Oryzias latipes: one gene and its partners. The protein of the gene in region 4 purifies or fractionates together with the protein of the main gene of each other region. This does not show direct contact. Links are inferred from orthologs where the notes say so. Each region holds a gene or a part of one and is shown on either strand. Other genes may lie near its edges. The genes, in order: usp1, xrn2, nop58, kpna1, rnmt, SWI/SNF-related matrix-associated actin-dependent regulator of chromatin subfamily D member 2 and arid2.

Region 1 (4,176 bases), on a different chromosome or scaffold from region 4:
TACCTACAAACTTAATCCAAATGTAGGTTTTTAATCAAAAACAAATGCTTGGCTGAACCAGATCTAAAAGTGGAATGCCCCACTAAAGTGAAAAATGTACTGCTTGTCAATCTGGTGCAAGAGACCGAGAAGAAACCCCCATTCTGAGGCTTAAACCGATGAATATCTTTGCTTGCAGTCCCACAGGAAGTGTCGCACCTTTAAAGTATTCCCATCTATTACTGTGTTAGCATCCTCGCCGCAACATCACTGGAATGCCAAGCAAAGGAAGCAAAGAGGTTCCTGGATGTACATGCACAGTGCATCGATACATCTTTGCAGCTGACCAAGCAGCCACTCTGCAGCCGCAGCAGCAGCAGCAGCTGCAGCAGCAGCGGGTCGTCCAGCGCACATACCGCCGCACTGACACATGCATCAGGGCTAAACGCAGGGATGCAGCGACGCACCTGTCGTTCACCATTTTTGTGCAGCATGCAAGAGCTCCAACCTAGTAATTAAAAAAAGGGGGGGAGGGGGGGGGACGCCAGCCACAACACTCCGTAGCCAGGTTAACGTAAACGTAGTGCAACTGATATCCAGCGGAAAGGAACGGCAAAACAGATCGGAATTGGCAGCGAACAAATAAAACTAACGTCGGTTTGTACGTCAAATCCCAAAACAAAAAAAAAAATGGAATCGCTTCTTACCATTAAAATAGTGGAGGAATAGTGTGCTGACTGTCAGATGAGGAGATGGTCCAGTGGAAGATGGTGATGATGATGCTGGACAGTTCATCTCGCCTTTTCTTGGATAAATGTCGCCTCCTTTAGGTTGTAAATGGGAATGAATGCAGGTCGAAATTAATCGCGGGAAAAGCACAGTTAAGTTTTTTTAAAGAGCAGTTTAATTTTCGAAACAACAGTTCCGTTAAGAGGTAAAACGTCGAAGTTTTTGGATCCTTGCTTGAACTGTTGTTCCTCATTATGTCAAAGCCCACTACGAAATTATTCTGGCCTTTGCTATATATCAAATAAAACTTTCTATCCATACATTTCAAAAACTAAATTTTAATAAATTTTTAATTTTTTTTCCAATTTTAAGTGAACTTTCAAAAAGCGTTTGCAACAAGAACCCAATGTTAAGCCACTAAATAATTGACTACAAAAATGGCGTTAACGATTGGCCATACTGAACATGTCTTACTTAGGTGTCCTAAAATTAGCCTGTTGTTTTACAACTTCGTCTGTTAGGTGATTTGAACGTTAAATATTTAAATTCATTTTTTGGAATGTAAATATATGATACAATTAAAAAAAACAAGTCTTTCATATAAAGATGATTGTTATTTGTTTAAAATTGTTGCAGGAATTCGACTGGCGGCGTAATGGCTTACAAGTCTTCAAGCAGGAAAAAGCGCCAACTTGTGTTGCGCCGTCAGAGTAGTCAAACACCCATGTTAAGCGAAAAAGAGAACAAATGTGTTCAACTGGGGTGCTATATTATACATAAAGCTGGAATGGCTGGCTTAGGTAAGATTTTAAAATGTATTTACGCCGTAAAAACGGAATGGCTAAAAGAAAAAGGCGTTCGGTCTGTTTACTCACATCAGTTCTTCTACCGCGCCAACCTCATGTTGAGTTTAAGTGTTCGATCACAACTGTTAGTTTAGTGTGGTTTGGTTTCGTTTGTTTTAAACATTAAAATGCCATTTTAAAAAACAGTTTCGAATTAAGAATGAATGAATTCAGATTCATTATTAGGTTGGTGCTAACCGTTTGTTTGTTTGTTTAACAAAGTTTAACCGTTGGCTTGCTTTGAGCTGCAGAACTAAAACTATCTGTAAAGATAAAATCGAACCATTCTGCTTGTAGTTACATAACTCCACCATAAACTGATTTGCGTAGCTACGTTCGTTCTTGTTGAACTCTGATGGCGCCCGCGAAATTGAAACCTTACAATTTCCATTTTTTGGCCAGTGGGGGTCGCTGTTGCAGCTGAGTAGAAAACGATCACTGGGAATCCGGCTGTGAAGATGCCAGGCCTGCAGGGAGATAATGTGGCCACGCAGGGGAGCCCCGTAAAGAGGAGTAAACTTTCCCTGAAGTTTTTTCAGAAGAAAGAAACCAAACGGGCTCTGGACTTCTCTGAAGCTCAGACAGAAGAGCCCAAAACGACAGAATCAGAAGAACCTGAGGGAAGGTGAGTCTTTGATGTCACTTTAAACAATCATAATTCTTCCAGATCATTAGCCACTGGTTACACGTGGAGACCATTTTGCTTAAAAATTATATTTTGTCTGTGTATGACAAGTTTGCTGTGTGCAGTATTTATGGAAAAAAAAAACTCTACCAATTCAGAGGCCTGAAATAAATAATAATGATAATGCAGTTTTAAACACACAAGCCTTTTTAAAAATGTAAGAAGGTTTTTTATACATACAATTTCATATTAGTTACAAGGATCCCTGCCAAAAATACTAAATAGATTTGCTTATGTCTCCAGAGTTCATGATGTCTTTCTTGACTGATTATTTTTTTCTGAATTTCATTCAAAGTCAATGTGGTGAGAATACAAAAACAATTATGTAAAACTGATGGTTTAAGTGCACAAGCATGGAATCTTCATGAAAAAAAACTCTAGGTATGTCCTGAATTTAAATATCCTTTGACAGAGCAGCAGCTTTGCGTGGGTAATGTTTGTGATTTGAGGCGCTTCATGCCAAATAACGGTCTGTCAAAATAATGGACAGACATCCTCATCCAATCAATCAGTGATGTCCCATAATATCAACATTTCCAGTGTCTTTTTTGTGTTATGTTTATTAACATTTTGATTCCTGAAAATAACTTCCGTTTTCTGAAATGTTTTATTTTGTTTTTTTGTAATACTATTTTTTGTTCTTCTTCTTTCCTTTCCCTTTTTTCTGCTGATTCTGACACAGAGAAAAGCTTTTCAACAATCGTATTTTTGTTGTGTAAAATCCCATCTTCCTCATGAAGAGGTGTTTTTTATCGTGAAGGTACAGGTCATGTCTCAAAGACTACACTAGTTTGATACATGATCTTTCTGTCTTCAGCAGTGAACAAGTGGTGTATGGTCCACTTCCGGCTTCACCCAGCAACCCATTGCCACGTGAGAAGAAGGAGAACTTGTTGCCCTTTGTTGGGCTCAATAACCTCGGCAACACTTGCTATTTGAACAGTGTGTTACAGGTAAGCTAGCATCCACATTGGACCGTCACAACACGTGCTATGCTGCTGGGAACTTTAGTGTCAGAAGGTGGTTTGCGACATTAGGACAAAGCTCAGATGGAGAGTGATGGCTACTAAAATCAGTGATGAAAGTCTTCCGGGAATTCCCGGAAATCCGGGTTTTTGAGCAAACCGAACGTACTTTCCGGGAAATAAAGACCTGATCTCTACGGACAAATCGCTTTCCGGATTAAAAAATGGTCTGAAATCAGCTAATTTTAGCTTTATTTTCTATATTTCTCCGCAGATCGCTTCCTCTATGGTCGTGGCCATCTCTCGTCTTCCCGGCCTAATTGACCAATGACGGGACGTTTTAGTTGCTTTCGGATGCGTCGACGGGTCTGATTGGCTCTGTCTGCACCACGTGGTCAGCGTGACTCGCTTCCCTAGAGACCAAAACTGGCGGACCCACGCTAAATTTTCACAAACACATCTGAAGAGTTTGCGATCAAATTTGTGTTAAAATAATGGCAGGCATCGTCATTATTGAGCGTGGTCACGACCTCAGTTGTGAGAAGACGATAAAAAACAAATTGAAGTGGTCTTGGCTGGAAAAAAAAGATTTTACGGTAGTGTAGGTCAAATACTTTTTTGTGTAAAATAATCTCAAAACCACATTTTGAAATAATTTCAATTTTAGTTTTGAGTTTCAGTTTTTATTTTGAATACATTTCTCTAATTTATTAGTATTTCCTAATTACCATGATTTAGTTCAGTATAGTTGACATTAATTATAAGTATTTGATGGTTTGGACCCGCACTCCCTTAAAAAATAATGTTTACAATGTTTAGCTTAGTTTGTATGTTTGTTTTGATATTTCCCAGATTACTTAGTATTGGTGTTAAAGAATTGATGTATTATGTTATAGAATTATAGTTTAAAGCAGATCCCATATTTTGATGTAATTATAGTTTGAGAAAACAGTGCAAGTGGATGTTGTACATC
Region 2 (3,500 bases), on a different chromosome or scaffold from region 4:
AAAATAAATGTTATGCATTGTTGCAACTTTAAATAAATGCTTCACTATTAGGCTTTTTTTTAGAAGTTTGACTCTAATATGAACAAAAAGTTAGGTTTGAGGAATATCCTTTATAATGAAACAAAATCATCTTTTAAGTTTCTGCTTCACACAGTTTTGTTGAACTTGTATGTTTCGGATGCAACTGCTGTCAGTAAAGCTTTGCTGCCTGTGGATTTGCAGGGCTGTGCATCCTGGAAGTGGTACTTCCCATTCCACTACGCTCCGTTTGCCTCTGACTTCAAAGACATCAAAGAAATGTTCACGGAATTTGAGAAGGACACCATGCCGGTAAGAAAGCACTCAATCATTCAGATTTTTATGTGGCTGATCCTAACGGGCTTCTCCTGAGTTCTTTTTGTGAGTTCATTGCATTCAGTGCATTTTGTTGAGAAAATGATGAAATTAGATCATAATCAACAATTTTATTATTTTACAGGTTCACGTTTTAGATAATTATTAGACTGATCGTTATGTTATGTGGATGACTAACTCAAACATGTCTGAACACTAAAATTCTCACATAAATTTGTTGTTGTGCTCAGTTCAAACCTCTGGAGCAGCTAATGAGTGTGTTTCCTGCTGCCAGTGGGAACTTCCTGCCACCAACGTGGAGAAACCTCATGGTCAGCCCGGTGAGTTTAGGAAAACTGAAGACAATTTAGGGAACTTCTGACAAGTCTTTAATTTAAAACCACAAAAAAAGACTTTTCCATCTTTTTTTTTTACCTTCATCATTTTCAAATGGTCTTCTACTGTTGTCCTTCACAGGAGTCTTCCATCATTGATTTTTACCCTGACGATTTTGCCATTGACCTCAATGGTAAAAAATACGCTTGGCAAGGTAAGCCTTACCTAGAAATGGGAAGCTAGCCTTTGTAGCTATTATCCTGCACAAAATAAACATTTATTAACATGTTTCTGTGAATTTGTATTGCTAGGAAGACGTGATACCACTGATTCATGTCAATGATTGAAATTGTTATATATGAATACATAGTTTGGGTCTGCTAAAACTTCTAGCAGAATTAAGAATATTATTTTTTTTGAAGACATTTAATTTTAGCGTTTTTTTTAAATAAACACTAATTGGGACTTAATATGCGAAGCATGAGTGCACCACATAGTAATAGACAAACACTCCCTCCAGGTCTTTACTTTTTTTGTGCATGTCGATTGGAATTTAGACATATTATGTCATCAGTTGCGCTGGGACCAAACATCACATATATTGCACATGTTTTACTTGAATGTTGAGTCGACATTGGGAATCCTGAGCATTTTTTGATGGCAGGCTTAAAGTTGAAAATGCTGCAAAGTGCTTTTTCTGTTTTAATTTAAACCAAAAAAGGCTCAAGTAGCTTCAGAACTTATTTGTTTTGGTTGAATGTTAAAGTATGATTTGTTCTCAAAGGTGTTGCTTTGCTGCCTTTTGTGGATGAACGGCGTTTGAGAGCTGCTCTGGCAGAAGTCTACCCTGACCTCACGCCTGAGGAAGGTGAGCAAAAGTCTTTCAGTACAAAGGGTTTTAAACTACAAGTAGTTTGGAGATCAAGTGTTAGAAACATATCTGTGTGCTGTATTTGTAACCGCTTTTTTTCCCACCATTCTTAACTTTTCTTACATTAATTCTTCCATATTGTCTTATTAGGTTAGTAATTTAAATAAGATTAAAAATTGATTTTGTGTATGGTGTTTGCTATGCTTTTATTTCATCCATGTTTTATGGTGAGTTATTCACTATAACGTTTGTTTTTAATCCGCAAATGTTTCTTTGTTCCCTTATAACTTTTTTTTTTGCCTTTTTCCGTTAAAGACGGAAGAATGTCCACTTGGATTATTTCATCAAGAAGATTTTTTTTCCTTGATCATTTATGACTAGTTTTTCTTTTTTAATATATATTTGCAGACATTTGCATATATTTGTATATATTTGCTGTTTTTCCTCAAAATTTATCAAATCATTTAGAATTTTCCTAAATCAATTGAATTTACATATATTTTTACGTATTGTGTGCTTTTTTCTCTCTCTCTGTACTTTTTTGCCTTCATTATCTAAACGAATTCTGTTAGAGCTGCAGTGTGTTTTTAAATTCTGCTTACAGTATTTTCCCCCTGAAAAGTTTCCACGTTCTTTGTTGCAGCGAGGAGAAACAGTCTGGGCAGCGATGTGTTGTTTGTTGGAAAGAGTCACCCGCTGTATGACTTCATCCATGAACTCTACCGGGATGAATGTAACAAGGTACGAGGCTCCAGGAGGATAAATCCAGTTTAAGATACTTATAGCATGGTCCTAATTTGTACAATCAGTTATTAAAAGCTGTAGCAATTATGTCTTTTTTAGTTTTTAATCTGCTATGTTTGTTTCTGCCAGGGCACAGTGGTTCCACCAGAGCTGTGCTTTGGAATCCAAGGGTTATTAAATCTTGATAACAACCCTGTTCTACCAGACAAGTAAGGAAAATCTGTTTCCTCCTGATTTTTGTTTGTTCATGTCTTAAAAAATTTACTTTAATGTCTCGCAAGAGCTGCTGAAGCCAGATGACCATGGCGGTCATTTAATCGTATCTTTTTCTTTCAGGCCAGTGAAGTCCCCTATCCCTACATTGCGGGACATTTCACAAAGTACTGCAGTCAGGTATGTTCTCAATATAAAATGTATAAAGAATGCACAAAGTTTGAATGGTTTTGATAAACAACAGAATTAAAAGAACAAATGTCCTTCTTTGCACATTTTTTTTTACTAAAGCTTTTAGTTTTATAAGGCAACAACACAATTTAGAAGATATGCAAACTGTTGACTTTATTATTTATGGACTTTGAACTCTCGAAAAATGGTTTTATTGAGTTAAAACATATTTTTCTAGTGTGAAGTTCAAGGACCCTGAATTTGCAGTTGGATATGTGTTCAAAGCAGTTCTACTCCCTGGAGCCAAGTGAGAATTTTTTATTATTATTATTAATATTTTAGGTGCTTTGCTGAAACTGAAATTCTATGTTTACTTTAAATTAATATACATTGCCTCATACTTCTTAATCTTTTTTGTGACATAGTAAATCATACAAATTATAAACGATTATTTAGTCCATTATACCACAGTTTTTGCTGCAGCTTTACATTTAGAAGCACTGCAGTACCACTTAAAGGAAACATTGGTTTATTTTGTGGACCACATTCTGTGGGACTGCAGAATTTATTTACTTTTTTTTTGCTGTGAATATTTTTTAAGGATTCCCACTAAAGTCTTGAAGCCAGGAGACTGGGAAAGGGGGAACAGGGGACCATGGAGACCCCAGCTGGGATTCAACCCCAACAGACAACAGGCTCACCTGGACCAGTCTGGCTTCAGAGCTCTTGGGTACATTTCAATATTAACCCTCACTAACTGTAGATATTTTGACTCTTTAAAAAAACTGAAGCAGGTAAAAAAAATATTTTTTTCTTTTGCAAATAGTGATTC
Region 3 (4,025 bases), on a different chromosome or scaffold from region 4:
GCAACTGTTGCAGATGTTTTCAGTGATTCTCTTTATCACAGAATCCAGTGTTGAGACAGACAATTTAAACGTTTCTCTTTTTAAAAACAAAAAGAAAAGAAAAAACAATCCCTTCATGGTTATTGAAAGCTGACGCTGGTCCCTCCTCTCTGCAGGCGACCGCACAAACGTGGCGACCACCGATCTATCGGAGATCCTTCCAGAAGAGGTGGAGGCAGAGGTCAAGCTGGCCGCTGAAATCTCCATGGGAACAGAAGTGTCGGAGCAGGACATCGCCAACATTCGACATCTCTGCGATCAGGTCTGTTCTCCTTGATGGAACGCATGCTGGTGTCTGTGCTGGGCGCTACGTTGCCGTATTTTTGTTGTAGTTTATTAATTTTGAAATGTTAACAAAATTGCAATCAGCTCTATGTTTTAAAACGTCGGCCAAGGATTTAAGGATAAAGGAAAGAAAAAATATTTGTAGATGGTGGTGCGTCCTCAGATCAAATTTGGTGTGGAAAAGAGCAAAAATATTAGCATTACATGGTAAATTCTAAATAATCAACTTCAACTGCAAATTGTTAAATGAAAATTAAAAACTGAGTCCAGATTGGAACTTATAGTCTCCTAAATTGTTAGGTCTAAATAATCGTTGTAGCTTAATGTTCTCTGCATTCATGTCTCAAAAAGCAAAGAAGTTTTTTTTTTTTTTGTGGAATTGAAGCTTTATTTTGATTAAGCATGACACAGATTATTATTTAAAAATTAACTTAACAAAAAAGCTGAAGTACAAAGTCGAGTCGAACATTTTCCAGTAGCCTGAAGGAGTTTATGCATTCAAGAAGATCTTCGCATGAAAGTTTCTCACAATTCACTAAAATGATTTTTCTGGATAAGCATTGAATGCATCCAAAACTAAACATTTTTGGGTTTTATTGGGCATGTTTTGTCTGCAAATAAATGGAACTACTCTATTGAAAATCTCAAGTAAATTGAATCGGAAACGATCTGTCTGATCCCAAAGAAGAGTCTTTTTGCTGATAGGTCTGACTTCAAAGGTTTGTGGAGTAGCAGTGGCAGTGCTGATGATGTCGACAGTTGTCTTCATCCTGAATATCCCCGTGTGGGTTTTCAGTCACTACCTCATCTGAACTGTCACGTGATGCTCGCCGCGGCGCCAAAGCGTTTGTCTCCTGCGCGACCTTCAAACGGATCTGCTTCCTCCCCAGGTGATCGAGATCTCGGATTACCGCGCACAGCTCTACGATTACCTGAAGAACCGGATGACGGCCATCGCTCCCAACTTGACGGTGATGGTGGGCGAGCTGGTTGGCGCCCGGCTCATCTCGCATGCCGGTAGGTTTTGTGCAGCAGAGAGGGAACAAGGCGGGCAATGATGATGCGGACAAAACGTCGTTTTCCTGAATCTGATGACGGTTTTAAGTCACTACCTCTTCTGAGCTCATATTCTTTAGGCTATTTTCTCCTCAACACCAAGTTCAGATCATATTTGCCACTCTTAATATTTTATTTTTTAACTCTTTCGTGTTCAGGTTCACTTCTGAATCTGGCCAAGCATCCGGCCTCCACGGTGCAGATCCTGGGCGCAGAGAAAGCTCTTTTCAGAGCTCTGAAGACCCGCAAAGATACGCCCAAATATGGTCTCATTTACCACGCCTCCCTAGTGGGACAGACCACTGCCAAGAACAAGGGCAAAGTATGTTCCGGAGAACCGAGGGAGGGATAAATGATGACTGATCACCATCAAGAATAAAAAAAAATTGAACAATCCTTTCACCTCCTCTGCAGATCTCCAGAATGCTCGCTGCAAAAGCGTCGCTGGCTATTCGCTACGACGCTCTGGGAGAAGACACGAACGCCGAAATGGGAATCGAGAACCGAGCCAAGCTGGAGGCCAGACTCCGGCAGCTGGAGGACAGGGGGGTACGTAAAAGATTTCAGGATTTCCTGCCATTTCATTTCTATATTTTAAAAGTTCGAATTTTTTATTATTATTTTATTTTAAGTGGCTGTCCCTTTTTTTTTTTTTTCAAAATGGACGCTTTTCTGCCGGTTTGTCGCCATAGCAATCATTTAATGTTTCGGTCCCCTGGGGCCGCCGAACAGATTGGTGTAATTTTCATCAGAGTCGGCTTAAGTCAATGTTTGGATATTCTTGGAAGCAGATGTTTTTTGTTAGCCACGCCCACATTCCTAATATGTTCATATTGCATGACCTATCGTTTTGCTCACCTTGATCCAGGATTGATCCGTGTATTACATTTTTACAATGTGCCAGTAAAAATTTAAATTAAATGAGCTGCTTTTGCTCGCTCGTCGTGCCAACGCCATTCAAACTCTACAAACTTTATTTATAACTTTATATGCCGTAGAAGGTACCAAAGATGATTAGAATCTAAATTGTGAATTATTGGAATCATGACTTGAATATATATATTTTTTTAAAACGTCTTCTATTTTAACACCATTTTGATGCCATAATCTCAGTTACTTATAACCAAATCTTCCATTTCAGATCCGTAAAATCAGCGGTTCTGGCAAAGCCATGGCGAGGGCTGACAAATACCAACACAAGAGGTTAGGAGCAGAGCACTCCTCTCTGCAGGGATCCTTTACTTCTGCACGTTTGTGCGACATGTGTTGATTTGTTTTCAGCGAGGTGAAAATTTACGATCCATCTGGAGACTCCACCATCCCCTCCACCTCAAAGAAGAGGAAATTCGAGGAGGTGGAGCAGCAGGAGGCTGCAGAGGAGCCCACCACATCGGGGATGAAGTCCAAGAAGCCAAAGAAAGAGCCCCAAGTTCAAGGTGAGCAAGTGATGAAGGGACGCCGCGGGGGGGTTGAGATGTTCACGACGCTCAAGTTTGACCATGTGTGTTCCAGAAGAAACGCCTGAAACTTCAGCCGAACCGGAGACGCCCAAGAAAAAGAAGAAGAAAAAGGACAAGAAAGCAGTGGAGGAACCAGCTGAAGAGCTAAAGGAGGAGGAAGAGGAGGTGGCAGTAATGGAGGTGAGCCTTAGGCCAAACGTTTGTGGGGGCAAAATCTGGAATCCTGTTCTAACTGCTCACATTTACTCTTCAGTCAACAGAGAAAAAGAAGAAGAAGAAGAAAAAGAAGGAGGAAGATGACGAATAAGGAGATGGAGCCAGTGTATATATTTATTTTAGATATGTCTCTAATTTTGTTTTGTTTTTTACCCATAGAAGGTATCATCTGCATTGTTCCATTATACTACAGAATGTTTAATTTTAGACACAACAAAAAGAAAGTTCCTGTTTGTCCGTTCTTTCTTTGACACCATTTTATATTTTTGTCTCTTTGAAAAGGGATTTTAAATCTGTGTCTTAGAGGAAACATTTCCAATGTTGAAAAAAAAAAGGATGGACGAACAAACGTCTTGCTGTAAAGTTAACCTTTCTTTCCAATTATTGATTGAAGTTTATTTTTGGAGCCAGACGAAGCTAAATCTGGACTCAAGATGGACGATTGAATAAAAATTATTACAAACTTGTAGATGTTGTGATTTGCATTCAGTTACAGAAGTCACGTTTAATGCCCACATTCTGTGCTATAGAGCCAATACCATACAATTCTTAAGCCTTTTAGAGTAAAATAAAAAAAAAATCTGTATATGATATTACTTCCCACACAAAAGAACACTTTTTTTTTATAAATATTAGTTATATTCCTGAGCTTGTTTCCAATCAAGAAATTAGAGACAACTTGATCTCTGAAGCCCCGCCTCTCACTCAATGTGGTGACGTCATCCGAGAGTCGAGCTCAGCAACCTGTGTTTCGCCCACAACCAAACTTTTGCAAAGCTTTTTGGCCAAACCCTGCTAGCTCTGTGGAGAAAGTGGACGGCAGAGCCACAGTGCATGCGGGTAATCATCCAGGGTGTTATTACAAAACCCACAAGTGTCTGATTCTCTTTGGCCCATCATGAACATCCTTGGTCTTGTGTAAGTGAGTCCTATGAAGAGTTTTAAACAGATTAAGCTGCAGGTTAGGAC
Region 4 (4,081 bases):
TCAAACATGAACCAGCTCTGAAACTGCTATAGACTCTAAAAACTTGTAACGATGATTTCGGTTTTTCCTTTGGTGTTTAACTGAAAACATTGTCTCAACGGTGGATAACTGGTCTCTTCAGTGGGATCATCATCATCATCAGTTACCAGAACTTGTTGGCGGGCAGCATCCTCGCAGCATCCTCTCTCTGCGCTTGCGGGCAATACTTGCGCGTGTGAGCGCGGTCTCCGGTGGCCCCGCAGATGGGACAGGTGTAGTTTCGGAGGATGGGGCAGGTGACCTTCCTGTCGTCCGACCTGAGCGCGTGCGAGCGGTAGACCTGCCGAGTCTCGCCGTTCTGCTTGCAGAAGCGGCAGTAATCTGCGGGGCTCCCGCCGCAACTGGTGTCCGAGAGGCTGCTGACGGAGCTCGTCTCTGCGGAGCTCTGCGTCTGGATGATGCGCCACGGCGCCGCGGGTTCCTGCTTCGGCTTCTCGGGGTCGACCTGCCGCCGGTTGCACAGCCTTTGCAGGAGTGCGCCCAGGTTCATGTAGTCGTGCCACATGTCAAAGCAGTCCTCGCTGAGGACGTGCGCGCTCTGGACATCCACAGTTGTTTGCACCGAGGCCATTTTTGGAACACAAATTTCGATCAGTTCCAAGTTAGTCTGGAGAGTTTTAAATTTAAATACTTTCAAAATAAAACCTGAAACAATGATTGCAGATGTTTGGGCACTCAAAGGCTTTGTTCTTCAGATTATTTTACAGGTGTATCAATTCGTACTTTTAGGAATAAAAAGGAGGTTAAATTAGGCTAAAAAAACTAATTTAAGAGCTATTTTTGGGATGCAGATTTGAATGTATGCGCCAATTAGGCCATTGTGTTGGTTCTGTCTATTGCTTAGCTTAATTTTTTTATGTCATGATCCTAATTTCTTTTTCCTTTGTTGAGAAGTATCACTTTTAACATCTGTTAATCTTTTGCAGCCCAAACATTTAAGGCCACTTCATCATTTGGATGGACACGGTGTCCACCTCGGGTCATTTAAAGACCACAGGCGCCGGATCGTCTAGTCAGGGCCACTTCAAAAACATTTAAAAACACACCTGCACGCGGGCAGGTGTTGCACACACGACCCCTCCTTGAAGTTTGAAAGCACGATTTCAGCCATTGATTGAACTGCGATACCCACATACCGACTGTGCTTCAAAAAGAAACTCCATCATTAGAGTTTGTGTCCATTTTTTTTGAAAACCGCACAACTATTCACTTGTTTACCAGGGCCAGCTCCTTGTGTGGGTGGAGCCAAAGGAGCGTCACTGAATACGTTTATTTGACGCATGCGTAGTGGCATACCGGCGACGGCAGCAGAAGCAGTGGCTTAGCGATTTAGGGGATTATAAAACCTAAACTGACAGGTATGTATAATGTATCTACACATTGTTGTTCTATACTTTTACCGCTTTTAGATTACGAATAAATGATTTTAGTATGTGTGTTTAAAAGTTTGGTGACAAATAAGCTGTTAAAAGGCATGTGTTACTCGGGGTTTTCAGCTAAGCTAACGTCAAGCTAGCTCGTTAGCAGCAGAGGCTAGCAAGAGCTGTGACATCAACAAGCTAATCATGTGGGAAATTAAGTAAATAAGCATTTTTTACTATAGACTGTTTGATGTCTTGATTTCTAATGAGAACCCATATCTCTCTATAAATAGAAAGAAAAGTCATTTGTTCCACAGTAATGATTTTGGTATTGGGCAAACATGCCGAAAGCTAGCAAACTATAAAGCTAACTGCTACAAGCCCTTCTGACAATCTTGAGTAATATGTTCGAGACGTCTGAAAACGACCTGCATTCTTGGTTTTGCTATACATTGCGGTGATTGTCATGAAAACCTGAAGAAATACACAGAAGAATGTAAAAGAAAATACAGACATTACAATACATCTACAACATGTGGGTTTTCCAGGATCTGTAACACTAAAGTTCTGCACCACCGGGACTACTAACGAGACTAAAATTCTTCATTTTCTCAGGCTACAAAATGAGTCAGGGGAAGGATAATGCACGACTGAAGAGCTACAAGAACAAGTCTCTCAACACAGATGAGATGAGAAGAAGGAGGGAAGAGGAAGGCCTGCAGCTCAGAAAACAGAAGAAGGACGAACAAGTAAGTAAAGTGTAAACTTTATATTCATCCATCAAACACAATAATTTAGTGTGTTTTCCTAGCTTTTTTCCCCCCTCATAAATTGCTTAGGTTTTTACAATATGGAATTGTGTTACTTCCATATAAGACAAGTAGAAGATATACAAACTGGTAACAGCAGTTATTTTTGTTATGCTGCTTCTTACCTAGTCAAAGTACATATAATAATAAAACCAAAAGATGCTGTACTATTTCTTTGTACAACTTTAAGGACTGTGTCTTTGCAGCTATTTAAAAGAAGAAATGTTGCCACTGTGGAGGATGATGGTGCCCTGGAGGATGATGGAATGGCAGATAGTGGTTATCTGGAATCCCAGGCTAACAACATGGACCCATTTGGGGTGAGAATTAGCTCAATAAAACCTTTTTTATGGTGTTGTTTGTTGCATCTTTCACAATAAATTTGACTGATCTGTTATTGTTTTTACTATGTTCTGCAAAGGGTGGGGTCATTTCTGAGGACATGATTCAGATGATTTTCTCCAGCACTCCAGAGCAGCAGCTAATAGGCACACAACGCTTTAGAAAACTCCTTTCTAAAGGTAAAGGTCTAGCTGAATGCCAGCCTGTTCTATATCGCATAGAGCGATGAACAAATGCATCAACACATTCTACTGTTTAACTAGAGCTAAACAGCCTTGTAAGTTATCTAGAACTAGAAACAATCTTGATCATGTTCAAATTCAATTTGCTGCATCATCTTCATTTCTTTCATTTTTTTTTAATATTACAAAAATAACGAAAGACTGTTCTGATTTGATTTATTTTTAATTTTTAATTAAATAAAAATTGTCTCAATTTTTGTCTCCAACAGAGCCCAATCCACCTATTGATGAGGTCATTGCCACTTCAGGGGTGGTGGAGCGTTTTGTTGAGTTCCTAAAAAGAAGAGAAAATTGCACATTGCAGGTAAAGTGGTTTAATGCCTGAACAAATGCAGCTAGTCTAGTAATCATGAGCTATAGTGTTTTAGATGGAGTTTTTTTTGTCTGTCCTGACATAAATTGGTCGTGTTTTTCTTAGTTTGAAGCTGCGTGGGTTTTGACCAACATTGCTTCAGGCACATCCCACCAGACTAGGGTCGTAATCCAGGCAGGAGCTGTTCCCATATTCATAGAGATGCTCGCCTCGGATTTTGAAGATGTGCAAGAACAGGTGAGGGACATTTTTGTTGTCAATATTTATCTCTTTTCATATTCTTATTTTCAAATTATTACATATTTCGTAAATTCGTTTTTTTATGTCTAACTTGAATTATTTCCTCTTCTGTAGGCAGTGTGGGCTTTGGGTAATATAGCAGGTGATAGCACAGAATGCAGAGACTTTGTCATAGACTGCAATATTCTACCATCCCTGATCCAGTAAGTAGCAGATTATTGTTAAACAGCTCTATGGTTCTCGTTTCACGTGAGATAAATATGAACAAGTCCATGTTTGAACATCGAACTCCTTTTTTCAGATTATTGGCTAAACAGAATCGTTTAACAATGATGAGGAATGCAGTTTGGGCACTGTCTAACCTGTGCAGAGGCAAAAATCCTCCTCCTGACTTCTCCAAGGTAATTTCTCAAGATGATACTTAACATGTCTCTCATTCCCAAAGAACAAGTTAAGTTAAAAACCATTGTTGGTAATTATTTACCGACCCTCCAGGACTTTCAGATGTTGGAATTGCACACTTGCAACTTTTTCTTGACATTGCAACTTTACCCAATCTCTGTAACTTGGAAAAAGTTTTACTTGTAAAACCCTTTCTGCCAATCAAGTTTAGAGGCTCAAACATGTACATCATCAGTCTAACCAATCAAAGGTGCCAACATGGCTGGTAAAATCTCTGTTCCCTCCACAAATCCCAGCTAAAGATTGTTTTTAGCGGCGCAGCCAGCTCCCAGC
Region 5 (4,066 bases), on a different chromosome or scaffold from region 4:
TTTGCCTGACAAAGATTACAGCCCATTATTGGGATGAGACAAACAAACCAAGAGGTGCCAACATGACAAACCGTTCATTCAATTATTCATAACTCTACACTTGAAGGGACGAGACTGGAAAGTGTGTCCTGTAAGTGGGAAACCAGCAGGGAGCAGCGTTGTGCTAAAGAGACGGATGTTTTCCTTACACCAGTTCATAGGCATCTGGCGTCGTTCCAATGAAGAAGCCTCCGGGCTTCAGACGCTCACAGGCGTTCCTCAGCATCATGTCGGCCTTCTGCTCGCTCTCGAAGGAGTAGTGATACACAAACTGACAGCTGCAGATGTCGAACATCAGCTCGGCGTCGTCCAGCTTCTCTGGCAAAGACTCCTGGGACAAAGGGATCAGGAGAAAGGGATTGTGGGTAGAACAGCAGAGACATGCATGCTCTTTGGTTTGCAGGTCGTACCTTTGAGCAGTCGGCAGTGATGAACTGAGCGCTGAAGATTTTCTCGTTGGAGTAACTTTTCCTTTTCATCTCATCGTATCGGCTCTGGCACTGCTCCACAGACACGGCTGCTATGTCTGGAGAACCAGAAAAGCATAAAACCGTCTTCAAAATGGATCAACGTAAAGTAAAAGCGTCAAAAGCGTGATTTAGTTTGAAATTAAGTATTTTAAAAGAGAACATGACAAAAGTGGTCTTTTTCTGTCTTGGTTGTTCCCACTTTAAAGACCCACTCCGGAGAAAATTGTGTATTTTTTTGTATTTAAGATGTTCCAGTGACATTTTTCTGATCATAAAGGACATATATAAAGAAGATTGAGCTCAAAATTACATTTCTGAGTGTTTTCTTTATTCAAACAGCTATAAATCAGGAGACAAACAATACAGTTTGAAAAAGAGCTTATTTGTGACTTAGAAAACACACAATGGTCGGACAAAAAGCTACCAGCTTCACAGTTCTCAGCGACAGGGAGAGGGAGAGGGGGCGGGGTTGCTCTGTGGCAACGGTCCTGCCCACAACTGAATCTCTAATGAACTCCTGACGCTCTGCAGGAACTATGTCCTTGAAAACGACACAGGTTTTTGGATTTTTAGGTTAAAAGCGAAATAATGCAAAGGCCACCGGGAACGCTTTGAAAAGAGATCAAAAGATGATCGGAGTGGGACTTTAGAGGTCAGCAAAGGTCAGCAAAAACTGATCGACCATCATTCCAGTCCAATGTGTGGAAACACTTTAGCAAAGACATGTGACCATCCAGTGTGCTAGAATGTTCTAAGAATGTTCACTTTGGATTGTTTGAATGTGGAAAAACAATAATGGGCTGAACTTTAGGAAACTAAAATGGATTTGACATTCATTCTTGTTTACTTGTTTGTTTGGACACATATTTCATTTAGACTTAATTATCTTGCAAGAAATACGAGGAGTCTGGAAAACGTCACTGTTCAGTATCCAGGTAATTTTTACACTGGTTGAAGTTTTGGCTAAAGATGTCCTGGATTGATTTTAAGTGAGTGAATCTGATCGTTCAAAAGGAACCAGAATCAACGGTGAATTGGATCGTCGACCAAAAATAATGACGTGAATCAAATCGTTGATAAAAATGAATAGTTACACCTCTATTTGAATCTAAATCCCAAAAAGTTTGTCAGTCATAACTGATTACCTGCACAGACGAGGTGATCGATTCCTCCTCTTCTCCACTTCAATAAGTCTCCACCTTTTCCACAACCAAGATCCAGCACACACACCCGGCTGTTCCCCGCCTTCCGCACCTTCTCTAAAATCTCACCTGTCGTCAAAAATAATAACAATTCCTGTTTGCAAACATTGTCTTAGCCAAAAACCTTCAGCACTCTGTCATCATCGTTACCAATCAGGACACTCTTCAGCCAGTTGTTGAAGTTTCTCATGAAGAAGATTCTGCTGCGACTTCGAGCTGCCAGACCAACTTCCTGCAGCTTATTGTAGTGGCTCGCCACCTTAACACCGTGATCAGAAACCTGAAGAACACCGTCCTGTTATATTCAAATGCCAATCGCTCCATCATATGCAGATCTGCTGAATGAAACTGAGGAGAATTGTACCTGTTTTTTGGTGGGTGACTCATCATCACCTTCATCTTCTCTGACTCTCTTCTTCACCACTTCCTTCTGAACTACCTCCCCACTAAGATTCCCTTCATTGCCTTCTTGTTGTTCATTCTCCTGCTTTGTCGTCTCTGTTTGTTCAGACATCCTTATCCTATAAGTACAGAAGAAGATCCTTTGTCTCTGCAATTTTTTTTCAACGATATTACTGTCCCATAAATGGGTCCAAACTGCAGTTAGATAGGGCGTTTTCAAAAAAGAGAAGCTCTTATTAGTAGTAGTTTATTTTTTCAAAGTGCAGATTTGGCAAAAACCTAATAAGTGACGTAGCTTTTTAGATTATCGAGCGTAGCTATAATGCTAGCAGCAACTGAATTTTAAAGTTTTCTAATGAGTAACCTAAAACGAGGAATGAGGGGAAAACAAAACATTGTGTGATCGTTACGTACTACTAGGAAGTGAGCGGCTAACGTTAGCTTATGGGCTGTTTTCTTTTAAATACAGTTAGCGGCAACATTTGTTAAAATTCTTTTTTTTTACATCAACCTAAGTCCAAAAGCTAAAATGTCTCAAATTGAACGTATTATTTGGCGTTTAGCTATATTTGAGCTTAAGATAAGTACGTACTTACAGCACTCTGCAGACAGGACGCTTTACGAAAGACAACTTCCGGTTGTGATTACGTCATAATCCTGCGTCCTATCCGGCTACTTTGTTTTCTTCTTCTTTTTTTAATTTTTTAACCTTATTTGCAAACGTATGTCTATGTAACAAGTACACATAACTGAGGTTAAAAAATAAAAATAAAAGAAGTAAGATGGCAAAATGCTGACATGAATAAATGAAATAATCCTCACTAATACTCACACTTTCACATGTTTGTAAAAAGAGGTCCTAGACACAATTTCATTTTTTGAATATGTCCAATAGTAGACTTGACCCCTTGTTATGCATACAATTTAAACCCTTAATATAATTTTATTGCGATTTTTTTTTAATAAAATGAACTTAGGCCGTACTTTTTTTCCATTTTGAGGTATGAATAAAACATTTTGAGCTTTTTTTTCCTTCTTCTTCCTCTTTTAATTTTTCTTTCTTTATTCTACTGTTTTAAAAAATAATTTTTCTTTATAATCAACTTATTCAGTAAAATTGTGAATGCCAAATGGACTAAAAACAATATCAATATACTTTATATGGAGCCACAGCACAACAAAACAAACAAAAAATTATAACGGCAGAGTTTGTTCTAAAAAACGGACATGTCCATTTTTCCTTTGTTTCGTAATAGCTTATCTGTATTCTACTTACAAATCAAGTCAGGGTGAAACATCAGTCAGAGATTATGTTACAAAAATGAAAAGGTGGCGCTAGAGAAAATGGAATGAAAACACAAACAAATTAAGGAAACAGCAACTCTGGCACAGCTGGGACAAACACAACTCAAAACAACAAGAATCTTGAAATATTTTTGATAGATTGTGGCAGTGTTCTTATTTATGGTGGATTAATTATTTGGTTATCCAAGTGAATAATAGCCTACCGTTAGTTTTTAAGTTATAATGTATGGCTTTAAAATGTGTGGGCATATCAACAGATTCAAGGATTTAAAAACCATGTTACTTTCCTCAAGTAATCCTAAAGTAAGTAATCAAAGTAATCAAAAAGATTATTCAGAAGCATAATTGCTATTTTACTGAGATTTTGTTTGATCATATTCTTTTTGTTTGTATATATATTTCCATTATTTATTTGTTTTTATTTTTCCATCCACCATAAAGCCTACACTTTCATCATTTGTACATCAGTAACTTGCTGCCCTAGTTTAAATTACATCTAATATGTAACTGAGTAATTTGACGGTGTTGTTTGTTTTACTGTGCTCATTTTTATTTTTTATTGGTGTGTAAAAAAAAAATTTAGTTTAAAGGAAATTTTAGACAAAATTTCATTCTTCAGGTTTGCCTTTTATTTGTCTGTTTGGTTTG
Region 6 (3,500 bases), on a different chromosome or scaffold from region 4:
GTTCGGTGACGCCACATTTCTAAATGTTACAATGAATCTGTTGTGCTGCCGTGTTTATTTTCTAACGACATTCTCAGAATTGGAGGAAAATAAGCTGCAGTTCTGGAAGCATCTTCTGAGTTTATAATGACGATCAACTGTGTCCTTTAGTTGAAGACAGACTAGCTCTTGTGCGTTTTTATGAGTTCAGCTGCGGTGAGGAACTACAAGTCCCTCAGAAGAGGACATGTAGGCCAAGACTTTGTTATCCAACTGTGAAGCTGTCCACAAATGAGCTCTAATCGAATCTTTTTGGACTTGATCTTGAATCATGTGTCAGCGTGTCTTTTTTCCTCATGAAAACATGAAAAGTTTGAGGCTTTCTGAGTCCTTTTCTAATCTAAACGTTGATCCTTCTCTCTGTGCGGTTTAGAGCCAAAAGACGCAAAATGGCCGACAAGGTTTTGCCACAGAGGGTACGTTAACACCAACGGCCCCCCCCCCCAGAAAGAATTCAATTTATTTCCTGCTTTTGGATGTTTTGAATCACGACTTTTTACGTTTGGTTCTTTCAGATCCGAGACCTCGTCCCCGAGTCCCAGGCTTACATGGACCTCCTGGCTTTTGAAAGGAAACTGGATCAAACCATCGCTCGCAAGCGCATGGAGATTCAGGAGGCCATCAAGAAGCCCATTATGGTATGTTTCTACAACCATTTTAGGAAAAAACAAGATGTGGAGGGTTCTGACACTTTTAGTAGAACAATTTTTTTTGTCGTTTTCTTCTTTAACTTTAAGTAGAGTGGTCCCTCGCTGCTAACCTTTCAGAGTTTCGCTGTTTTCAGGATTGATTTAGCGCAATTTTTTTCTTCTTTTTTTTTGCAGTTTGTGTTCTGTGCTCTGATTGGCTGCAGACCAATGTCAATCAGTCTCCTCCACGCTATGCAGAATGCGTTCAGCTCGCAAAGATGATCTTTGTTTCCATTCTATAACACTGGGCTTATTTTATATGAAGATTTGAACTTTGAGAGTTTAAACAACAGAGAAAGCTGTGAAAATGTTCATAAACGTCTAAGAAAAGTGTTTAAATAGGGTAGTTAGGGGTTAAAACATCTATAATAATTGTTGAAAATTTGCAGATTTCTTCTGTTGCTATTAGAGCATAACTGCTGCGATAAACGGAGGAAGACTGCACCGATTGAGTGATTTGATGTTTCTTAGTGAGATCACAGATGATCGATTTGGTATTAACAGGCATACTAGTTGGACGTGATCAGTCTTTATGTCTTTTGCATTGTGAGCAGGTGCTGAAGCAAACCTGTCCCTGTTCAGATCCGCCTTTAGACGGATGAAACCAGGTTTGACGCAAAACATTTGATATTTGAGCAGCTTCACTTATTCATCTGACAAAGTCGGATAAATGCAGCAAAGATGTGTGGAGAATCGAGGCCGAAGAGTTTTTGTTGGCTAAAGAAGTGAAATGTTTTGCAGTGTCTCAAGTGCCTGATTGCAACATTATCAAATGGTATTTTAGGTTTTGAAAATTAAAACCAGACAAATCCACAAACAGTCAAGAAACTGTTGTGACTGATTTCAGAAACGCAAAGCAGAAAATGTTTCGAAGCTCCCTGCGAGTCTGAACAAGAGGCTCCAAACGTCAAAGACACCAAAAGCCCAGATCTTCCGATGGATCTGATAAACGCCAAACGTTTTGGATGGATAGGTGGAAGAAAGACAAAACCCTGAAGCTCTTGAATGAATCTAAATCAGCTTTTTGCTTCTTTTTTATGATGCAGCAAAAGCGCAAGCTGAGGATCTACATTTCCAACACTTTCACTCCAAGCAAGCCCGAGGGCGAGGAGTCGGAGAAGGTGTCCTCCTGGGAGCTGAGAGTGGAAGGCAAACTCCTGGAGGAAGTGAGAGACTCGTGTTCTTTTGCTCTTTGGCCATTATTTGAGCGGTCCGGTCTCTGCTCGCGTTTCTGAAAGCGTCAGTTGGCCCGCATCCTTGGCGCAGACCTCGCGGCCAGATGTGCGTTTACAGCTTTCCTCATCCCACCCCACAACTGCCTCCATACGCCGGAGTTCATGCTTTCTGCCGGCTTGAAACCATCGCCCTTTTGCATTCCTCCAACCGAAACACCCCCTCCCTCCTAAAATTGAGCTCGCTCTGTCAGCCGTGGCCCCCCAGTTTTTTTGTTTTTGCTCCTAATGTTCCCCCCCTCTTGCTCGCTGGTCCAGGCATGTGTAGGAGCACGGCGTGGACTGACAGCCAAAAGAGAACGGATGGCAGAGGAGAAATGAAAGGGGGCCACGCTGAGCAAACAGATTTGACGGAGGGGAAGGGGGGGGCGGGCGGGTTGCAACAGCCTTTTCTACTCAACAGTTTGGTTCCTCTTCCCTGATGCGGTCAGAGCCCAACAATGCAGCTGCAGACTGACACCGCGGAGCTCAGGAACGCTCGGCAGTCACGCAGTGCTGTGTTTCATGTGTTTGCAGCCCGGCAAGCAGAAGAGGAAGTTCTCATCTTTCTTCAAAAGCCTGGTGATCGAGCTGGACAAGGAGCTCTACGGGCCGGACAATCACTTAGTGGAGGTAACGTTTTAAGGACGTTAACACCACACTCTTCTTTTCTTTTGTTGACTTTTCTGATTTGTATTCCTAATTAGATTGGATATTTTTCCCTTTCAGTGGCACAGAATGCCCACCACCCAGGAGACGGATGGTTTCCAGGTCAAAAGGCCCGGCGACGTCAACGTTAAATGCACTCTTCTGCTCATGCTTGACCATCAGGTGGCCCTTCATGTTTGCAATTCACTTTAAAGCCCCACTCTATCTGTATTTCCATCATTCCAAGCGGTTTTTGCAAAATACCTGTCGATTTTTAAGACGTAGTTTCTGCAGCTCAGGACGAGTGACTGTTGATATCCCAGCATTCCTTTGTTTATACTTTCTCCCGCTAGATTACAGCTCCTCGCAACACCAAGCTAACATTAGTGTAGCAAAAAAAAAAAAAAGACTGTGAGCAATATTGTAGTTATCCAGCTTTACAGCTAGTTGTTATCTATTCCTGATTCATCAGAAATTCTTTAAAAAATGTCCTCCATTCTGAGAAAAATCCAACAAAACATGATTTTCATCTGATCCGATAAAAAGTCTCCAAAGACCCACTCAGATGAAAATCGAATTTTCTTTTTTTAACACATTCTTGTGGCATTTTTCTCGTGATGGAGCACATATGTAAAGAGAGTTCAAATTAAAAAAGACATCTCTGAGTATTTCTTTATTCAAATGGTTTTGACTCAGGAGTAGACACAAGATGCAGTTTGAAAAAGATGGTGTTTGTGACGTAGAAAACACGCTGGGCGGGGCCACAAGCTCCAGGCTCTGCTCCATTCCCATGAGGCCGCGTGCAGACGGTCAGCGGGAGAGCGTGTAAACAGACGACTGTTAGCGGAAGCAGGGCTGCTCCGCGCTAACAGAGCCACAACTCAAAGGCAAAGAACTCCTGCCGCTCTGCAGA
Region 7 (3,500 bases), on a different chromosome or scaffold from region 4:
AGCAGCAGAAGCAGACTGGTCCGTTTGTCAACGTCTCGTTTCATTCGCCCAGACCTCCTGGTGCGGCTAGTGTCCGTGGACCTGCACACGTTCGGACCCGACGCGTTGACGGCGGTGCGTTTAATCGAGCATCAGGCGAATGCTGAGCAGGTGTCGGAGGTGCGGCCACAGCTGGTGGAGCAGGTCCCCGCATCGGCGCCGGCAGCAGCAGGTGAGCACTTTGGCGTTTCAGAAACACGCCATTTTCCCCCCTTGGGGCTCCCTGGGGGCGGATTCAGGGGCAAACGCCTCTGTACATCTGGACTGTTTGGGTTTTATGTTTGTAAAGATGCAGTGTTTGCTCAAAAACAGTTTTGTTGTTGTTGTGAGAGCTGTAAGCCAGTGGGAGAGAGTGTAAACAAAGAGATGATGGGAAATAAGCCGAGGCTTACTTCCGTGCCAGTGGACCCGTCCACAATTCAGAGGTTAAAATCTAATGAATTCTTCCGCGGATGGTTTCCAGGTATCTGTTGTAGCCACTCCTCCAGCTTGGGGGTTACTGCCCTGAGTGCTCCAATTACCACAGGCACCACTGTCACCTTCACTTTCCATGCTTTCTCCAGTTCTTCTCTGAGTCCCTGGTATTTCTCCAGTTTCTCATGTTCCTTCTTCCTGATGTTCCCATCACTTGGCACTGCCACATCCACCACAACGGCTTTCCTCTGTTTTTTGTCCACCGCTACAATGTCTGTTGGTTCGCCATTACCATCCTACCAGTCTGGATCTGGAAGTCCCACAGGATCTTTGCCCTCTCATTCAAAATTGCTGTAAACGGGAGGAAAATGGAATAATTCAAGTTAGGGCTGAAACGATTCCTCGAGTTATTCGAGTTACTCGATTACAAAAATTCCTCGAGGCAAAAACTCTGCCTCGAAGCCTCGTTAAATTCCCATGACGCGCACTATTCGCGCGGCGCAGGGATTTCATTTGACCGTTTATTCTCACGGACCTTTTGAATTTAGTTGGCGCGATGGCGGAGAATAGATCTATAAATCTTCTTCCACTTTCGGCTTCTCCCATCTGGGGTCGCCACAGCGAACGAGTCGCATGATAGATTTGGCAATGTTTTACGCCGGATGCCCTTCCTGACGCAACCTTCTCAAACCGGGCTTGGAACCGGCAGAGGTAGAGAAGGGAACAGGGAGCAGCCCGGAGTCGAACCGTGGTTTCACGGATGGAAGGCGCCGCAAACCAGCACGAGTTAAACCGGCTCCCCAGGAGAATAGATCTATAAATAAACGGCAGAAATAGAGCTGGCATACCCGCGCGTGCCGCCAGCAGCGAGCGAGAAGCGGCGTCAGCCGCTCCGCGGCGACCAGCGCGGGCCGCGGAGGGGGCGCTGAGAGGCAGGGGCTGGGACAGGCGGTAGCTCGCCTTTCGGTGGACCGCGAGGCTTCTTTAAGTATTGCAAAAATAACAAAAGCATTATTTTTACACGAAACATAAACAATGATAATGATCAAATATGTTTTTCTGATTCTTTTATTTCTAATGGCCTTCCATTTTGGTGTTGTGCCACCCTTTCAAAGTCTTCTGTCCCCCCCCCATACAAAATGTTCTAGCTCCGCCACTTCTCAAGACCAACTTAAAAACACCAAAAGTAACATTTGCATCATAGCGGATCTTTAAAATCAAATGCTTGTTCATTTTACAACCACATCATTTTTGTTATGCAAGATTTGTTTTGGTTGTTCAAAAACACACACAAATCGTTTTATCCGATTACTCGATTAATCGATCGATTAAGTGCTAGATCAGGGGTCACCAACCTTTTCGAGACTGAGGGCTATTTCATGGGCACTAAGTGGTATGAAGGGCGCCACAGGACCTGTTTACTAAATACCTCCTAGCCCCCCCCCCCCCCCCCAACCTCAACCTATTCTCTAAATCTTTGCATTACATGAATCATAAGAATGCCCAGACATTGTGTAGTTTATTTGATCTATTTAAACTTTTGTAATAGACCCTTATTTTTATTTTTTTAAGTCATATTAATAATATCAATAATAATCCATTTTATTTAAAGCGCCTTTCAAGGAACCCAAGGACCCTTTACAAAACAAAGGTTAAGGTTATTTTTGTTTTCGTATTTGTTTTTTTGTTTACCTTTATCTCAGAGTTGATATTGGTGTCATTGACAGACATCCCATGATTGATTGTTGAATATTTGCTTCAATTAAAAAAAAATTTTTTTGGTGCATTTCCTGCGGGCGCCACAAGGGGTGCTCGGGGGCGCATGGGCGCACGCGGGCACAGGGTTGGTGACCCCTGTGCTAGATTAATTGATTACAAAAAGAATCGATAGCTGCAGCCCTAATTCAAGTACTTCGAAGACCGATTGGAAATAACTTTTTTTAAAACAAAGCCAGAGCTATAAAGCTATAAATCAGATATATAATTCTGTGAATACATTCTTATGTCCCTGTTAATAATAAATGACACCATTTAGTCCAAATGTGGTGTAAACAAAAATAAAAGTAGCTAAGCGCTTTCATTCAAGTTATTTAAGACGTTAACTGCTTTCAGATTAAATTACCAAAGATAAAAAACATGAACCTAAAGTCCATCTGAAAGTAAAGCTTTTTGAGATGTGATGTATGGTTTATAAGTTGATGTTTTTCTCAGCATGTTCAGGAGTGAGTGAACGTCTCTGGGCACTAATATCTCCTGCAGTGGAAAAACTTTAGTCCTGGGAATTCACAAATGTGCCACTTTGGAGAGCAGAGGGAACACATGCTGTAGAGATTGCTGCTCTGGTTGACACAGCAGTGGTTGAAACGTCTTCATTCAGATTTCTGCCTGGCGTTCCTCCATCGATCCGTTCTGTGCCCCCGCAGCTCCTCTTCCTCCTCTCCTGCGCTCAGCGTTCGCACAAATCCAGGGAACCACGCTTCCAAATGTCCTGCATAGCGATCTTTCATCACGGCACGGGAACCTCCTCCTGGACGTCTTTGGGTTTCTGGACTTTAGTGCAGCGTTTTCTTCTCCTGCTGTTGGATCTCATGCTGGGTTGTGTTGTAAACATGAGCTGTGTTCCTGAGAGGGGAAGACACGCCTTCTTTCACACACTTGTCTGCCAACATACAGTTTTTTTGCTCTGCGCTGTGGTCTTTGTGAAGCTGGAGCCGCGGGTTTGAGTCTCAGATGCTGCAAAACTGCATCAAAACGGAAACGTTCTGTTGAAATCCTTTAATAGGATTTGCGTTTACATGTGGATTATTACAGTTTAAGTCCTTTGATTTATTGTAAAAGCCTTCCCAGTGCTCTTTTTAATTATTATCCATTAAAGCGGGGCTATCAGAATGGAGCGGAGCAGGGAGTTTGTAGCTCTGTCACCAAGAGAATCTTTTTCAAACAATTTCTTTTGGTCTGCTCCTGATTTACAATAATTTCAATAAAGAGATGCTCAGAAAAGCAGTTGTTCATTTAATTTTCTTGATATGTTGTTCTTCATCATCAGA

What was found.
Region 1: the proteins of kpna1 (region 4) and usp1 purify together in Homo sapiens (co-immunoprecipitation; 6 studies listed by BioGRID and IntAct, with this or other methods). This does not show direct contact. The link is inferred for Oryzias latipes from reciprocal best matches to the Homo sapiens genes KPNA1 and USP1.
Region 2: the proteins of kpna1 (region 4) and xrn2 purify together in Homo sapiens (affinity purification with mass spectrometry; 4 studies listed by BioGRID and IntAct, with this or other methods). This does not show direct contact. The link is inferred for Oryzias latipes from reciprocal best matches to the Homo sapiens genes KPNA1 and XRN2.
Region 3: the proteins of kpna1 (region 4) and nop58 purify together in Homo sapiens (affinity purification with mass spectrometry; 3 studies listed by BioGRID and IntAct, with this or other methods). This does not show direct contact. The link is inferred for Oryzias latipes from reciprocal best matches to the Homo sapiens genes KPNA1 and NOP58.
Region 5: the proteins of kpna1 (region 4) and rnmt purify together in Homo sapiens (co-immunoprecipitation; 4 studies listed by BioGRID and IntAct, counting the BioPlex papers as one, with this or other methods). This does not show direct contact. The link is inferred for Oryzias latipes from reciprocal best matches to the Homo sapiens genes KPNA1 and RNMT.
Region 6: the proteins of kpna1 (region 4) and SWI/SNF-related matrix-associated actin-dependent regulator of chromatin subfamily D member 2 purify together in Homo sapiens (affinity purification with mass spectrometry; 3 studies listed by BioGRID and IntAct, with this or other methods). This does not show direct contact. The link is inferred for Oryzias latipes from reciprocal best matches to the Homo sapiens genes KPNA1 and SMARCD2.
Region 7: the proteins of kpna1 (region 4) and arid2 purify together in Homo sapiens (co-immunoprecipitation; 3 studies listed by BioGRID and IntAct, with this or other methods). This does not show direct contact. The link is inferred for Oryzias latipes from reciprocal best matches to the Homo sapiens genes KPNA1 and ARID2.

Annotation. Positions count from the first base shown.
Region 1 is NC_019862.2:16,400,442-16,404,617, reverse strand, and holds the start of usp1 (ubiquitin carboxyl-terminal hydrolase 1), read left to right. Parts: upstream 1-1,376; 5' UTR 1,377-1,508; intron 1,509-1,583; exon of another isoform or gene 1,584-1,940; intron 1,941-1,955; 5' UTR 1,956-2,011; coding exon 2,012-2,178; intron 2,179-3,055; coding exon 3,056-3,191; intron 3,192-4,176. UniProt on the Homo sapiens protein: Negative regulator of DNA damage repair which specifically deubiquitinates monoubiquitinated FANCD2. Also involved in PCNA-mediated translesion synthesis (TLS) by deubiquitinating monoubiquitinated PCNA.
Region 2 is NC_019882.2:16,207,589-16,211,088, reverse strand, and holds part of xrn2 (5'-3' exoribonuclease 2), read left to right. Parts: intron 1-222; coding exon 223-330; intron 331-584; coding exon 585-674; intron 675-810; coding exon 811-883; intron 884-1,453; coding exon 1,454-1,537; intron 1,538-2,183; coding exon 2,184-2,281; intron 2,282-2,413; coding exon 2,414-2,493; intron 2,494-2,620; coding exon 2,621-2,677; intron 2,678-2,906; coding exon 2,907-2,975; intron 2,976-3,269; coding exon 3,270-3,398; intron 3,399-3,500. UniProt on the Homo sapiens protein: Possesses 5'->3' exoribonuclease activity. May promote the termination of transcription by RNA polymerase II.
Region 3 is NC_019860.2:15,370,027-15,374,051, reverse strand, and holds the end of nop58 (nucleolar protein 58), read left to right. Parts: intron 1-155; coding exon 156-301; intron 302-1,059; exon of another isoform or gene 1,060-1,143; intron 1,144-1,214; coding exon 1,215-1,341; intron 1,342-1,370; exon of another isoform or gene 1,371-1,452; intron 1,453-1,538; coding exon 1,539-1,702; intron 1,703-1,794; coding exon 1,795-1,929; intron 1,930-2,521; coding exon 2,522-2,583; intron 2,584-2,661; coding exon 2,662-2,816; intron 2,817-2,892; coding exon 2,893-3,020; intron 3,021-3,093; coding exon 3,094-3,147; 3' UTR 3,148-3,525; downstream 3,526-4,025. UniProt on the Homo sapiens protein: Required for the biogenesis of box C/D snoRNAs such as U3, U8 and U14 snoRNAs. Part of the small subunit (SSU) processome, first precursor of the small eukaryotic ribosomal subunit.
Region 4 is NC_019878.2:17,889,062-17,893,142, reverse strand, and holds the start of kpna1 (importin subunit alpha-5), read left to right. Parts: upstream 1-1,281; 5' UTR 1,282-1,397; intron 1,398-2,015; 5' UTR 2,016-2,023; coding exon 2,024-2,149; intron 2,150-2,415; coding exon 2,416-2,529; intron 2,530-2,630; coding exon 2,631-2,730; intron 2,731-3,002; coding exon 3,003-3,097; intron 3,098-3,211; coding exon 3,212-3,343; intron 3,344-3,460; coding exon 3,461-3,549; intron 3,550-3,647; coding exon 3,648-3,747; intron 3,748-4,081. UniProt on the Homo sapiens protein: Functions in nuclear protein import as an adapter protein for nuclear receptor KPNB1. Binds specifically and directly to substrates containing either a simple or bipartite NLS motif.
Region 5 is NC_019869.2:4,905,986-4,910,051, reverse strand, and holds the start of rnmt (mRNA cap guanine-N7 methyltransferase), read right to left. Parts: upstream 2,801-4,066; 5' UTR 2,710-2,800; exon of another isoform or gene 2,706-2,709; intron 2,233-2,705; 5' UTR 2,226-2,232; coding exon 2,076-2,225; intron 1,992-2,075; coding exon 1,862-1,991; intron 1,781-1,861; coding exon 1,655-1,780; intron 566-1,654; coding exon 450-565; intron 371-449; coding exon 189-370; intron 1-188. UniProt on the Homo sapiens protein: Catalytic subunit of the mRNA-capping methyltransferase RNMT:RAMAC complex that methylates the N7 position of the added guanosine to the 5'-cap structure of mRNAs. Binds RNA containing 5'-terminal GpppC.
Region 6 is NC_019877.2:6,914,882-6,918,381, reverse strand, and holds part of SWI/SNF-related matrix-associated actin-dependent regulator of chromatin subfamily D member 2, read left to right. Parts: intron 1-412; coding exon 413-455; intron 456-554; coding exon 555-677; intron 678-1,774; coding exon 1,775-1,894; intron 1,895-2,476; coding exon 2,477-2,572; intron 2,573-2,668; coding exon 2,669-2,770; intron 2,771-3,500. UniProt on the Homo sapiens protein: Involved in transcriptional activation and repression of select genes by chromatin remodeling (alteration of DNA-nucleosome topology).
Region 7 is NC_019881.2:4,002,990-4,006,489, forward strand, and holds part of arid2 (AT-rich interactive domain-containing protein 2), read left to right. Parts: intron 1-52; coding exon 53-211; intron 212-3,500. UniProt on the Homo sapiens protein: Involved in transcriptional activation and repression of select genes by chromatin remodeling (alteration of DNA-nucleosome topology). Required for the stability of the SWI/SNF chromatin remodeling complex SWI/SNF-B (PBAF).